Sus scrofa: one gene and its partner. The protein of the gene in region 2 interacts with the protein of the main gene of each other region in a pairwise test. Links are inferred from orthologs where the notes say so. Each region holds a gene or a part of one and is shown on either strand. Other genes may lie near its edges.

The links.
Region 1: the proteins of VPS52 (region 2) and USP2 interact in binary tests that used the Homo sapiens proteins (3 or more experiments, as listed by UniProt). The two-hybrid records come from large-scale screens. The link is inferred for Sus scrofa from reciprocal best matches to the Homo sapiens genes VPS52 and USP2.

The regions. Positions count from the first base shown.
Region 1 is NC_010451.4:46,577,954-46,585,613, forward strand, and holds part of USP2 (ubiquitin carboxyl-terminal hydrolase 2), read right to left. Parts: intron 7,287-7,660; exon of another isoform or gene 7,158-7,286; intron 4,150-7,157; exon of another isoform or gene 4,145-4,149; 5' UTR 4,104-4,144; coding exon 3,327-4,103; intron 1-3,326. UniProt on the Homo sapiens protein: Hydrolase that deubiquitinates polyubiquitinated target proteins such as MDM2, MDM4 and CCND1. Isoform 1 and isoform 4 possess both ubiquitin-specific peptidase and isopeptidase activities.
Region 2 is NC_010449.5:29,621,616-29,628,498, forward strand, and holds the end of VPS52 (vacuolar protein sorting-associated protein 52 homolog), read right to left. Parts: intron 4,344-6,883; coding exon 4,232-4,343; intron 3,745-4,231; coding exon 3,626-3,744; intron 3,317-3,625; coding exon 3,170-3,316; 3' UTR 2,609-3,169; downstream 1-2,608. UniProt on the Homo sapiens protein: Acts as a component of the GARP complex that is involved in retrograde transport from early and late endosomes to the trans-Golgi network (TGN).

The sequences.
Region 1 (7,660 bases), on a different chromosome or scaffold from region 2:
CTGGACTCTGCCACAGGATGTGCTTTCCCCCACCTTTCTTCCTCCCGGCGGTGATCTGCTCCCGACTCTAGTCAGCTGCCAGATTCCCCTTTTCCATCCTCTCCTTTCCCTGCTGAAGTTTAAACCAATGCTACCATCGCGCTTTACTGGTTTCAGATTCCTCCACATCCATTATTTGCTTCGAGCCTCATGACATCCCGGTGAGCTGGGCAGGGCAGGGCAGGTGTGACCATTCCCGTTTATGGCTGAGGAAACAGCTCAGATGAGAGGTGTCCAAGGTTAAAGAGGCAAACTGTTCCTCCAGCGGTCACAGCAGCCCAACCCAGCCTCTGTGACCTCTCCCTTTCCCACCACCTCTGACCTTGAAAAACACCTAGGACTGCCTTCTATTGCAATTATTTTTAGAGCTTATTTCCCCAAGTTCGTTGCAAATGCACCGAGGGCGGGGAATGTGGCTCGCGCCTCTCCTACCTCCCGAAGCTCCTGGGAGGTGGCAGGACTGAGAAGACTGATATTTTTTGAACACTTACTGTGTGTCAGGCCCATTCGCCTGCAGCCTTTGACGCCTCAAAATAATCCATGAAGTGGGAACAATGCGGATCTCACTTTACAGGTTTAGACGGTCAGGAACTTCCCTGAGGTCACGCTGCTAGTAAGCTGAGCACCGTGAAGGAATGAATGAGACAGAAAATCCCCACATGGAGATCGAAAAAGAAACTGGACCTGGTTCTATTTTTTTTTTTTTTGTCTTTTCTAGAGCTGCACCCATGGCATATGGAAGTTCCCAGGCTAGGGGTCCAACTGGAGCTACAGCTGCCAGCCTATGCCACAGCCACAGCCACACCAGATCCGAGCCTCGTCTGTGATCCACACCACAGCTCACGGCAACGCTGGATCCTTAACCCATTGAGCGAGGCCAGGGATGGAACCCACCACCTCATGGTTCCTAGTCAGATTCGTTAACTACTGAGCCATGACAGGAACTCTGAAACTGGACCTGGTTCTAGAAAAAAGTGGTCCAGGCCCCATGAACAGGGTTGTTCTAACCACAGCAAGATGTCAGCTCCAAAAGCAAGGGTAAGGGTGGTGAGGAGAGAGAAGGTGAGGTTAAATCAAGGTCTGAGGTTAAATCAAGAGGGGCCTTTCCCAGTGGATGGTATCTTCCTGAGCGTGAGCTCAGAGTGAAACGCTAGCTTGATTGTAGGGCTGCTGCTACTTAAGTGTGTTGTGAGCTGTTTCTGGGCGGGAAGGAGGGATGTGAGGGTGGCTGAGTTTGCTTGGGTCAATTTGCCACCCCTCTGAGGTCCTCTCTTAAAACTCCCCTCACCCTGGCCCTGGGGGTGGAGGTGGGGCCGGGGGTGTCTGCTTTGGAATGGGTGTCAGGCTCTAACCCACATCTGTCCTTGAGAGCACAGCCCCTCTCTCCCGGGCCGGCTCCATCATCTAGCACGCCTTGTTTACACCAGCCCTCCAGTGTAGCCAGCCTTGCCCTCACAGGGTCTGAATGTTCCGGGAGGCACCAGCTCCGGCATCTCCTGTGACACTTCAGAGATGGCCCAGCAAGGCCAAGACTTTCTAAGTAATGGTATCAAAATTGTCCTCTCTAGGACCTTTTTTCTTTTTTTTTTTAGGGCCACACTCGTGGCATATGGAAGTTCCCAGGCTAGGAATCGAATCGGAGCTGCAGCTGCCGGCCTACACCACAGCCACAGCAATGGGGGATCTGAGCCACATCTGTGACCTACACCACAGCTCAGGGCCAATGCCAGATCCCTAACCCACTGAGCAAGGCCAGGGATTGAACCCACATCCTCATGGATCCTAGTCGGGTTCTTAATCCACTGTGCCACAGTGGGAGCTCCCTCTCAAGACATTTAGTTATGACAAGCTTCAAGGTCAATGACTCAAAGCCCCGCCTCCATCCTGCACCCTTGCTCCATTATTCTGGACAGGGCCCCTAGGCAGCATTTCTTGCTATGGCACAGAAACTGGTCCCCAAAGACACATGTCCTAAAAGTAGGGGAAGGGTCCGTAAAGTAATGAAGGAGACACAATCAACATCCACATGCCTGTGGGTCCTGTCCCTCTATGCACCCACTCATCCCCCCACCCATCCACTCACCCTCCCCCGCCCTCCCAGCTACCCACTCATCCATGGGATCAGCAGTCAGCTGAGGTCTGCACTGAGCGAGGCACATGGGGAGAGGCCTAGAGAGCTGACTTCTCTCTCATCCTCTGACAGCTCACCACCTAATAGGTAAACTAGTTACTACAGCAAAGGCAGAATGTAGAGAGGTGTTCAAGGGTTAGATGGGAGCAGGGCCATGCCTGCCCTTACTTGGTCTCTGGCTGAGCCTCCTCCCTTATTTGAGCTCAGCCAGGATCGGAGTAGAAAGGGACTGGATTGTCTAAAGTCCTCGACAAAACTTCTCTACCACTTTTCTCCAAAGATACATGAGAACCACTCCTGTCTTCACTCCCTGAGCCAGGCAGGGTCCATCTGAGGACAGCCCCTCTTCCTTGATGTCTTTTCCTTTCCTTTTTTCTTTTTTAGGGCCGCACCCTTGGCATAGGGAGGTTCCCAGGCTAGGAGTCTAATCGGAGCTACAGCTGTTGGCCTACACCACAGCCACAGCCATGTGGGATCCGGGCGGCACCTGCGACCTACACCATGGCCCATGGCCAATGCCAAATCCTTAACCCACTGAGCGAGGCCAAAGATTGAACCCACATCTGCATGGATACTACTCAGATTCGTTTCTGCTGTGCCACAATGGGAACTCTCTCCCCTCCCCGGCCCTGATGTCTTATGTCCCAGGGTTAAGCCCATCTCTGGGCTAGAAGGTAATAGTCTGAGCAGGAGGAGAGACGCAGGCAGTCAAGGAAGCCCCTCTTACCACAGGGCCCAGTGGTGGTCTGGGGGTCTCAGCATTCAGTTCAGGACAGGGCAGGGCCTGCAGGGAACCTGGGCATGTTGGGTGGGAAAGTAGAAGACAAGAATCGCAGTATATGTGGGGGTAGCTGAGTATTTCCAAGAGCACTGCTGGGCCACCATCAAGGGCACAGGTGGTGAAGTAGGTTTCCTAGGGAGAACAGGAAGGCCCTTAAGCAAGGAAGGTCCTGAGCCCCGAGGGCACCAGACGTGCTGAGGTGGCTTCCCTGGCTCGTCCCCACTTGGGCTGCAAGAGCAGCCCCTGTGAGGTCCGAGAAGAAAACCTCTGCCTTTGATCATCAGTCAAGTTGGGAGTCCTTGCCTCAGCCTGGCTCTTGTACATCAGTGGCTGCCTTCCCCAGTCCATCACCAGGTCCCCAGGGGGCAAACTCACCATGGTGTCTCGCCCGGGGGAGCTGGAGCGGCTGGATACAGGGGTCTGGCCCTTGCTCTTTTCCCACGGAGTGTAACGGCCACTGGGTCGGTAGGTGGGGCTGAGGACTTCAGGGACTCGTGAGAGAGGGGCCTGGGTGGGCACCTGAGGCGTGCTGCCCTTGCGACCATAGTTCTCCAGGTAGTCGGCCAGGTACTCAGAGCGGCTGGCTGCCTGGTAGAGCCCCTGCAGGGCGCACAGCTCCTTGCGCGTGCGGGCCAGCATGGGGCTGCGGCCCAAGTTCCCCGGGTCTAGCCGGTAGCTATCTGAGGTCCGGAGGCTGGAGAAATCCCGGGCCAGGTCCGATTGACTATTCGACTTCTTCTGGGTCAGGGTTACCCCCTGGTCGCGGGCATTCACGGGCAGGTAGCTGAGGGAGCTGGTGGTCACTCCGTAAGGGAATCCACTGCCCCCGCTGAGTCCACTCCCTGAAGGCCGCTCAGTGCCCCGAGTCTGGCTCTCCGCCCGCTTACCACCTCCGATGATGTCGGGTCTCAGCAAGGGGCGGCCTCGGTCATAGTCCAGGATGGATGGGGGGCCGTAGGTACGGGGACGGGTGAGGAAGCTGGTTGAGGGGCCCGGCTTGAAACCGAGCTTCTCCTTCTCCAGGAAGGAGGCGGCCAGGTTGGCCCCGTAGGAAGAGGGAGTGTAGGTGCCATAGCCTGATTTGGCGTAAGGGGCATCTGTGTAGCGGGCTGATTCTGTGTAGCGCTTCAAGGTGGAGGAGAGCTGGGACATCCTTCAGGGCGGCACTCACTGGGGACTGGGAGCCTCATGGGCTGAAAGACAAGGAAAGTAGTTGTCAGAGGGTCCTGCGGGGGGGTCATATCCCACCGCACCTGCTTTCCATCCCCAGTTGGCCAGACCGAAGATCTCGACCAGGAACCACACAGTCTGCTGCCCACCACTGAGACACACCTCTGCATGTGAGCGCACATGCAGGCACGCAGGTCTCCATGCACCCATGCATTCACACCTTAGAGAGAGCACACGGGGTAAACTGGCTTTTTGTGTTTGTTTTTTTAAGGGCTGCACTCGCAGCACATGGCAATTCCCAGGCTAGAGGTGAAAGCAGGGCCGCAGCTGCCGGCCTATGCCACAGCCACAGTGATGCGAGATCTGAGCCACATCTGTGACCTACACCACAGCTGTCAGCAATGCTGGATCCTTGACCCACTGAGCGAGGCCAGGGATCGAACCTGTATTCTCATGGATACTAGTCAGATTCATTTTCCCCTGAGTTGGCTTTTATAAACCACAGGGGGGCAATCAGTCTCAGCATGTCCTGCCCACTCTGAGTACACTCAGTGTGAGGGCAGGGACTGCCCTACCTCAGCAGCCCCTCAAGCAGCAAGTGCTATTCCAACCCAGATCCCATCTGCTTCCTCTCCTCTGCTTCTGCAGATACTCCTGAGGTGGGGGGTTGCCACCGCCCTCATGCCCTGGATTGAAAACGCTGGACACTCCAAGAGTTAAGACTGCTCCCCTTCTTTCTGACCGGTGGCATGAGTGAGTCCTGGGAATCCTACGCTGTCTGAGCTGGCATGACCCGAGGATCATTTGGCCAGATCCCTGATGAGGAAAGGAAGATCCCTGATGAAGAAAGGAAGAGAGGGGGCTGTGGAGAGGTGGCGGCGAGTGACAGAGAGTGTGCCTGACCTCATTCTTCCCTGGTCACGGTCACCTGCTGCCGTGGGGGATCCTCATGTCGTGGAGTCCACCCTCTTCACTGGTCCAAACCTTTGGTTCTCAGTGGAGTTAGGGCCTGTGGCCTCACAGGGATTCCCATTCCCCTACCAGCACCACCATGGTGATAATGACTTGTGCAAAAGGGGCCCCCTAGAGGCTAAAATCCTGCACTGCAGGCAGCAATCCGGGGCCCCATCCGCAGTCCTTGCAGTGGGGTGGGCCTGCTAAAGGAACACAGAATCTCTGAATCGAGGAGTTTGGAGGGCCCTACAGGGTGGTCCATCTTAAGTCCTCTGTCGTACAATTGGGAGAAGGGCTGCTGACTTGCCCAGGGTCACTCACTAGCAGAGCCGGGATTGGCGTCCATGTCTCTCAGATTTCCAGCCCAGTGCTCTTCCGACTTTACCTCAGTTCACACCCCCATCACATTTAGGCTCATGTGGGGACCCCCAGAGTCCCTCCATCACCCTAAACCTGCAGGCTTCATCTACAATGGAGCTGGAGGGCAAGGTACTTTAAAGGGAGGAGCAAGTGGGATTGGCTCCTTTCCTTGAGGGTCAGCAGTGGCTCTTGGGGGCTCCTGGGGTGGTGGGGGTGCAGGACCCTCAGAGTCGTGTGTGTAAGGGCTGTGCCCTGCGCTGACTAGCTGGGTGGTTTTGCACTAGTCATTGACCCTCTCTGAGCCCCAGCTTCCTCATCTGTGTAATAATCATCATTAGATTCCTACCTCACAGGGTTGTCGCGAGGAATAAATGAGATAATAACACACGAAAGCCCTCAACAAGGACAGTGGTTATTATCTCCTCCCCCAGCCCCTGCCAGGCGGCCCGGCTCCTCCGTTTGTAGGCCTATAATAACGTCAGGGCTGGCTGTCTCCTGGCCTGGCCGGCCTCTGACCGCAGCCCTGGGCGCCAGGCTTCTCCCTGCAGCTCCCAGCGGGATGAGCGGATAAGCGGGCAGTGGGCAGCCCACAGCTTGCCCCAGGCTGGCAGCCCAGCCCATGCGGGCAGAGAGGAGCTGGTGCCAAGCCCCACATGCAGAGGGCTGAGCAGAGAACTCTAGAAACTCAGTCCATATAAGGCGTGGGAGAGGTGCAGGGGTGGCAGAGCGGCAGGTGGCACCTTCCATCTAGGCCCCACAACAGAACTTCCAGGCCCTGCCGAAGCCCTCCAGCCGTTTTCGGCATCAGAGAGGTCTGACCTGTAGTTACCAACCACTTTTTCCCCACCTGGCCAGGGGACCCCCTACCCTTCACTGGACACTCCCTCGCCCACTGTGCTCCTACCTCCAGCACAACTTTCACCTCTATGTAGGAAAAAAATAACTGGAAGAGGACCTCATGCAGGGTTAGGGGGAAACCACAAGCTTCCCTCCTATCTGCTTAGCTTTCTGGGGTCCAGGGAAGGAAGAGAATGAAGGCTGAGGGAGGCCAGGGGGAGAGACAGAAAGAGGTGGGGGTGGGGGTAGGGCCGGGGGGCGGCGGTGGGGGGACCAGTCCTGCTCTATTTCACGTTGGAGAGAGCTCCATCAATAATTCAAAGTCAAAGAGACTCCAGGCCTCAGGAGCTGGGCTCTGGGACACCCGGCAGCCAATCAGACACAACCCCCGCCCCGCCATGGGCCTTTCCCCTCCCCCACACTCAGGTTCCCAGGGAATTGGTATTCAGCAGGCTGTGCCCCAAGCTTGCGACCTCTCCAGCAGATGCCAAAGTGCCAGGTCCAAACAAGGTACGGCAGACAGGGACGACCCTGGGATGGCCCACGAGCAGCCCTGGGAAGGGTTGGGGGCTGGAGGGGAAATCCCACCTTCCAGCCCCCAAGAATCCCAGGAGAGCTCTTAAATCCCACTCTCCTGTTCTTTTCAATCTGGCAGGCTGGTGACAGACCTCCCACTGGCGCAGCAGCCATCACTAACAGCCCCCTGGAAGCTGCCTCTAAGTGCAGGCAGCTGGCTTATAGATCCCCTCTCTGGGGAGAGGCTCCCTATTGGGACTGAGGTCTGGGGCAGGCCCATCCCCTCCCCCAGCCCCCAGTTTTACTCTTAAGTTCAGGGCTAGCACCTCTCAGGTGAGCAGATAGGTGGGTTGGTGCCCCTGGCATTACCTGGCACGGGCTGTCCTGGGAGCCTGCAGAATGCACCTTGGGTGGGAGGGCGGGCCAGGGCCCTGAATCTAGCCTTGCTGCGCAAGACAGGGACAGGACGGGCGCTCACATGGCTGCAAGAGTCTCCCTGTTGCCAAAGGAACGGCCTGAACTGAATGGCCCTTTCATGGGGCAGTGGGAGGCCAGCCCATTGGCTGTGATCCCCCGTCCCCCTCCCTGCCCAGCGTGGGGCCCCTGCTGCCCAACTCCTTTCACTGTTTACCCAGAGCTGGCAAGTACAGGCATGTGATTCCAGGCAGCGCCTCCCCAGGTGCCTGCCACCTCGGACAGCAGGGGCAATCTCCTCGCCAGCCTCCTCCCCGTCCTGCTCTCCCAGAGGGGCCTCCGCTCCTCCCGGCTCTGCCGGACTTCCTCTGGCTGGGCTCAGTCTCCCCTTCTTGGGAGATGTGGTGGCATTCCTCCTCCTGAAAGGATGCGTGAGCCAGCTGGCTGTCGCCCGGCCA
Region 2 (6,883 bases):
CCACAGCCACAGCAACACCTCAGATCCTTAACCCACTGAGTGAAACCAGGGATCACACCCACATCCTCATTATGGACTATGGACTAGTCAGGTCCATAATCCACTGAAGCACAACAGGAACGCCTTAGTATCATTTTAAAATTCTCTACAGACAACGCACCCTCTAACTGCCTTGGAAAAATACTGAACTTCAGTCTGAGGTTACTGCAAATAGAATGTTCGAGTTCCCCTTATGGCACAGTGGAAACGAACTGGAATGGTATTCATGAGGATGCAGGTTTGATCTCTGGCCTTGATCAGTGGGTTAAGGATCCCAAGTTGCTGTGGCTGTGGTGTAGGCCAGCAGCTGTAGTTCCAATTCCACCCCTAGCCTGGGAACATCCATATTCCCTGGGTGCAGCCCTAAAAAGGAAAAAAAAAAGCAAAAAAAAAAAAAAAAAAAAAAAGAGAGAGAGAGAGATGGGCTGTGTCTTTGCAGCACCAGGATGCAGGTTCCATACCCGGCTAGGCACAGTGGGTTAAAGGATCTGGTACTGCAGCTGCAGTGTAGGTTGCAAGTGCAGCTCAGATCTGATTCCTAGCCTGGAAATTCCATATGCCATAGGGCGGCCAAAAAAAAAAAAAAAGGAAAAGAAATAACTTCGGGACAAGTTGAGGGCACAGAGGTGTAGAAATGGAGTGATGTGTCCTTCAAGGACGGAGGTCCCTTAGCATCCTCGGGCACTGTCACTACCCATAAGGATGCCTCCAAGTCCTTCCTGTATGACACTAGGAAGGACAGGGACCCAGGTACCAGGCACAGATGTGAGCCTGAAATGAGGACACTGACAGCTCCCCCCACCCTACCACCCCCCCGCAAGGAGTGACCCCCTGATGCGTCTGCTCTGTGAGGCCAGAGCGTGTCATCAGCAAAGGGAAGAAATGAGGGAGAAGTTGGAGGGCAGTGGTATCAGCCAGAAGTTGGGAGTTTCAGCCCAGTGTCTCAAGGACCCATGTAAGCCCCGGGACAGGATGTTTCTAGGCTGAAGGGAAAGTCTCTCGGGTTGCTTTAGCCTGAAGGGGGCGCGGGAGGAGTCTCGCTGCCTTGGGCCAACCAGGCAGCAGAAATGCTAGTGGCTTGGGCCATGGAGACCCTTCCCCTGGTAGATGCTGCCCCCTGGAGGCCAGCAGAGGTATCTCACGCTGCCCTGTCTCCTTTTGTGCCATCCTGAGACTGTTGGTCAGAGGGCTCCTGCGCGCTCTCGGGCAGTTCGACCTCAGTACCCCCTGGCTCCAAAACGGGAGCCTCCTCACTCTGCAGCAGTGACCCTCAGTGAGGCCTGCAAAAGACTGTGCTTGTCGGAGCATGAACACTGGGGCTGGGGATAGCTAGGGGCAGAGAAGGTCAGAAGTTGGAAAACCAAGGTGCCTACACGCACATTCCTTCTCCCAACCGAGGTCGACTTCGATGAAATCGCCTGTCTCGGCAATCTCCTTTGTGGGATATGCAGAGACGCAGAGATTCCCTCTCTGGGAAACCGCTCTGTCTCCCAGGTCCCAGCCGTGAACCCTCCTGCTCTCCTCGAACTGCGCAGGGATCAGGTCAAATGTGAGAACGTGAGGCACCCCTGGTGGGGGCGAGGGACAGGAAAGAGAGGTGATGGGACAGCAGACTCCTGGGGCAGGCAGGCCTCTGGGGATGTCAGGTGTTCTGGCATGCCGGGTGAGCCAGGAGGCCCGCGGGGAGGAGAGGAAGTGGCGGCGAAGTGGTGAAGTCAGGGAAGGGCGCTATCCTGATTCCATCCCTGTGGTGTCTGAGCCAATCAGGAGCCGCTCTGAGTCTCCAGCCTCCCTACTGACTCGGGAGGCGGAGCTGAAGCTTAGAAATAGGGCTCCCAAAGCCAATCAGCGCGCTGTTTTTGGAGACAAGGCGGCCTCGCCACACCCCCTCTGCACGGGAGCCCATCGACAGAGCCCGCCACTACCCCAGCTCCGCCTCCCGGCGTTCGGGCCCCAAGCAGCGCCCTTTCCTGCGTGTGTAGGAGCTGCGTAGTCGCTGCCTTCGCAGCTGGCTGGTACCGCACCCAGACTGCGAGAAGCCACTTTTCTTTCACCACCCGCTGGGGGGAATGAGTAGGCCCCAAATTACCATTTTCTCCTGACTGTCCAGGCCTTCCCCCTGGGGATCCACAGGAGTCTCCAAGTCTCTCCCTCTAGAGAAGGCGCAGGTCAACCCAGAAATGGATAGACTGTCACAGTGCAAGCCTGGCCCAGCCCCGCCCCAGTAGTCTGCGTGCTGCAGCCTCCGGCAAAGAGCTAGGAAGCAGACAGTGAAGGAGAGGAGGCAACCCTAGGGGTCAGCTGGAGGAGGCAGGAGGCCAGGTAGCCCTTGGATGCAATGCCTGAGGCCCACAACCCTTGATGCATCTGCCATTATGACCAGGGGCCACCTTCCTCCACTCCCCTAAAACCAGTAGCTAGAGGTCAGAGGTTACTATGCCCCTACTTTCTAGACACCCACCAGAAGGGATGTAGGCCCAGGAGGTAGTCAGAGAGCAAAGGGACCCTGGAGCAGAGATGGGGCTAAGTGAAAGTCCCAGGAGGAAGGAGAAAGGAAACAGGCGAAGGGTTTTATGTCATATTAAACATTTATTGTTTTCTGCAGACTGACCTTGGATGGAGTAACTCTCAAGCCAGGAGGGGACTGGTTAGTGTTCAAGTTGCTGAGATCTTAGGTCAAAAAGCTACAGAAAAGGATCACTTTGAGTAGGAAAAAAAAAATCAACTGTTATGAGGCAGTCTCCCCTGCTACACCAACTCCAAGAGCTGAGGCTTCACACCTGACACCAGGGGGTAAGAGCTGAGTGAACCAAAGATGTGGCAGCGAGGGTTTCACCAGCAGAAGAAAAGGGCAGGGCGGTGTAGGGGGAAGAGGAATGAGAAAATTGGAAAAATAACCAAGGTTATTTTGGAAGCCCAGGGGGGAGTGGTCCTGGAAACCTGAGGACAGGAGGTTCAGAAAGCCACGGTGACCCAGCTTATCCTGAGGAGGCAGGTGCCTGGGGTGAAGGCGGGTGCGGCATGTCAAGAGCCTGCATCCTCAAATTTCTTCTGGCCAGGGGCAAACCGGAAGGGGGACCCCGAGGGAAGAAGTTCATGGGGAGGGCCGGTGGCTCCAGCATCTGGTGTGTCAGAAGTTGGGCTTGTGCTTCTTGAGCTCCACCATGAGGTGGTGGATGTTGATAAGCTCAGCACGGGCTGGGAGGGCTCGGAGCTGGGGCTGGGACAGCACACGGTGGAAGCGGTGGTAGAGCTGGATCAGCTGGGTTAGTGCTCCCTGCTTGGAGAAAACCACCAAGGGATGAGGTATGGGGTGGTACCAGGGTGACGATTAGGATCATGTCAGGGCACAGGACTTGGGGTCCAGATGGAATGAAAATCAAGGGTCACTTGTATGATTCTGAGCCCAGAGAAAGGGGTGGGGGAGTTCCATGGTGGCTCAGTGGGTTAAGGAGCCAGCATTGTCACTGCTATGGCTCAGGTTCCATCCCTGGCCTGGGAACTTTGGCACGCCACGGGCGCAGCCAAAAAAGAAAAGCGGGGGGAAATCAGTGGTGGGTGGGTGGGACTGGGGACTGCAGGTCACCTGGATGATGCTGGTTCCATTCCTGAAGTTGGTGAAGCTCCGCATGACATCCTGGCTCAGGGACTCCACAGACGACTTCCAGGAACTGCCAAAGCCCCGGATCAGCTGAGTAACGCGGGCTGGTCGTGGGGGGAGAGGTAATAGCCATGTGATGTTTGATCCCTCTAGGCTCTCCACCAGGCACCGCCATCCTCACCATGCAACCCCTTTTCACCAACCCACCCTTCCCTGCTCTACCACTGCCCCCCCACCCCCCGCAATGTGATCTGCATCCTCAAATTTCTTCTTTCCTGGGAGTTCCCTTTGTGGCACAGGGGAAACAAATCCAACTAGGAACCATGAGCTTGTGGGTTTGATCCCTGGCCTCGCTCAGTGGGTTAAGGATCCGGTGTTGCCGTGAGCTGTGGTGTAGGTCACAGACGGGGCTCGGATCTGGTGTTGCTGTGGCCGTGGTGTAGGTTGGCAGCTGTAGCTCCAATTAGACCCCTAGCCTGGGAACCTCCATATGCTGAGAGTTCGGCCCTAAAAAGCAAATAAAATAATTCAAAAAAATTTAAATTTCTTCTTTCCCGTTCACCTCTCACTGACCCCACCCACCCTTCTTACCTTCTTCCCCTCGGAGTCGTTCGGCTTGCCCACGCTCAATCAGGGCCTCAGCTTCCTTCACAAATGCCACCAGACCCCCAAAAGGGGGAGATAGCAGCTCTTCGATGAATTCCTGTAGAGACACACACACACACAGTCGAGTTTCCTGATGTCTGCAGGTCCTCCCAGGTCTGGCGTCATGACCACCTGGGTCCTTAGAACACTCCTGTAACAGCACAGCTCATCTCTAGAAAGGTCTCCCAGAGCTAAGGGAAATCTCCAAGGACTACCCTCCTCAAAATAATTAATTCATTAAATGGTTTACAAAATGGAGCTGGGAGCAGAGGGCTGGAACCAGGGAAGTGGGCAACTGGGAGAGGCAGGGCTGCCAGAGGTAAGTGGCCATGGCCACCTGCTACCCAGAAGCTGAGCGGGATGCCAGCCTTGAGTGGGAAGCTGAGCTGCCTCTCTCACGAGAGCCTCTAACAGGTGGCAGTGTAGACCCAGGGGGAGGGCATTTTTCAGTGACTGTAAAAGGAGATGCCAACCTTCTCTGAAAAACCCTCAGTCCCAGCGCAGGGCCCTGGGACTCCCCCGATTAAGGTCAAGGAGAGGAGTCAAAGACCAGCAGTCGTAAGAAAGAGACTACCAGGAAAATTAGCACAGACAGTACACCCAAGAGCGCCCAAGACAGCCAACGTTACACTGCCACATACACAGCAGCTGGGCCTTCTGTATGAAATGTTCAAAGAAATTAAAGATACAGACACACACATGATCAATTCACAAGATTAGGAATGGACAGCTTTGAAACAATGGAATTTTAAAGAAATGATTTAAAAGTAACACTTTTTCTGGGAGTCCCTGTCATGGCGCAGTGGTTAACAAACCCAGCTAGGAACCATGAGGTTGCAGGTTCGACCCCTGGCCTTGCTCATTGGGTTAAGGATCCAGCATTGCCATGAGCTGTGGTGTAGGTTGCAGACGCGGCTTGGATCCTGCATTGCTGTGGCTCTGGTGTAGGCTGGCGGCTATAGCTCCGATTAGACCCCTAGCCTGGGAACCTCCATATGCCTTGGGAAGCGGCCCTAGAAAGGGCAAAAGACCAAAAAAAAAAAAAAAAAAAAAGGTAACACTTTCTTTGGTCACACCAGCAGCATGTAGAAGTTCTCAGGCCAGGAATGGAACCTGGGCCATAGCAGCAACCTGAGCTGCAGCACGACAATGCCAGGTCCTTAACCCAGTGTGCCACCAGGGAACTCTGCATCATATTTCAATTGGACAGCACCAGTCTAGACTTGGATGAACTTTAAGCTCTCAATCCAGCAAAAGAGAAGTTCTGGCAGCAGAGGAATGGAAAGAAGGAAGGGGTGCCCTGGGCTTTGGCTAGCAATCTGTCCCATGACACCGAGCAGCAGCCCCCAAAAAGGCCAGGGAGCGCTGGTGACAGCTGGCTCCCCACCATAGCAAATGCCTCAGTGCCTCAGCTGCTCCCAGCAGGGTCCACTGGTTGTGGGGTCAGAGGGCAAGGGAACTGCACTTCTGAGGAAGAACTGATATTCCCTCTGTCCCCTAACTGTGCAGGTAAGGACAACAGCTTCCTTTCTCAGCCATGATACATGTTTATGTTACTAAACAGAGAATGGAATGGGAATGTTTAACCTACAACTAACCAGATCCCTGGACAGAAAAAAGACTGGAGGAATGTAAGGTTAAAAAAGATACTGGTTCGGAGTTCCCGTCGTGGCTCAGTGGTTAACGAATCCGACTGGTAACCATGAGGATGCGGGTTCGATCCCTGGCCTTGCTCAGTGGGTTAAGGATCCAGCATTGCCATGAGCTGTGGTGTAGGCTGCAGACTCGGCTCGGATCACATGTTGCTGTGGCTGTGGTGTAGGCCAGCAGCTGTAGCTCTGATTCGACCCCTAGCCTGGGAACCTCCATATGCCTGGGTGCGGCCCTAAAAAGACAAAAGACAAAAAAAAAAAAAAAAAAAAAAAAAAAAGATACTAGTTCTATAGGCTGGCAGCTGTAGCTCTGATTCAACCCCTAGCCTGGGAACCTCATATTCAGTAGATGCAGCCCTAAAAATCAGACACACACACATACAAATACTGGTTCCGGGACTGTGGCGCAGTGGTTAAAGAATCTGACTAGGAACCATCAGGTTGCGGGTTTGATCCCTGGCCTTGCTCCGTGGGCTAAGGATCTGGCATTGCCGTGAGCTGTGGTATAGGCTGCAGATGGCGGCTTGGATCCCATGTTGCTGGGGCTCTGGCGTAGGCCAGCAGCTACAGCTCCTATTGGATACCTAGCCTGGGAACCTCCATATGCCGCGGGAGTGGCCCAAGAAATGGTAAAAAGACAAAAAAATAATAATACTGGTTCTGGGGGAGGGGCAAAAGAGGGGTAAGGTTAAGGGACTAAGAAAGCCAAACTATTATGCATAAAATAAATAAGAAACTAGGGAGTTCCCCGTCATGGCTCAGTGGTAAATGAACCTGACTAATATCCATGAGGACATGGGTTCAATCCCTGGCCTCGCTGAGTGGGTTAAGGATCTGGTGTTGCCATGAGCTATGGTGTAGTTTGCAGGTGTGGCTCAGATCCTGCATTGCTGTGGCTGTGGTGTAGGCCAGCAGCTACAGCTCAAATTCAGTCCCCAGCCTGGGA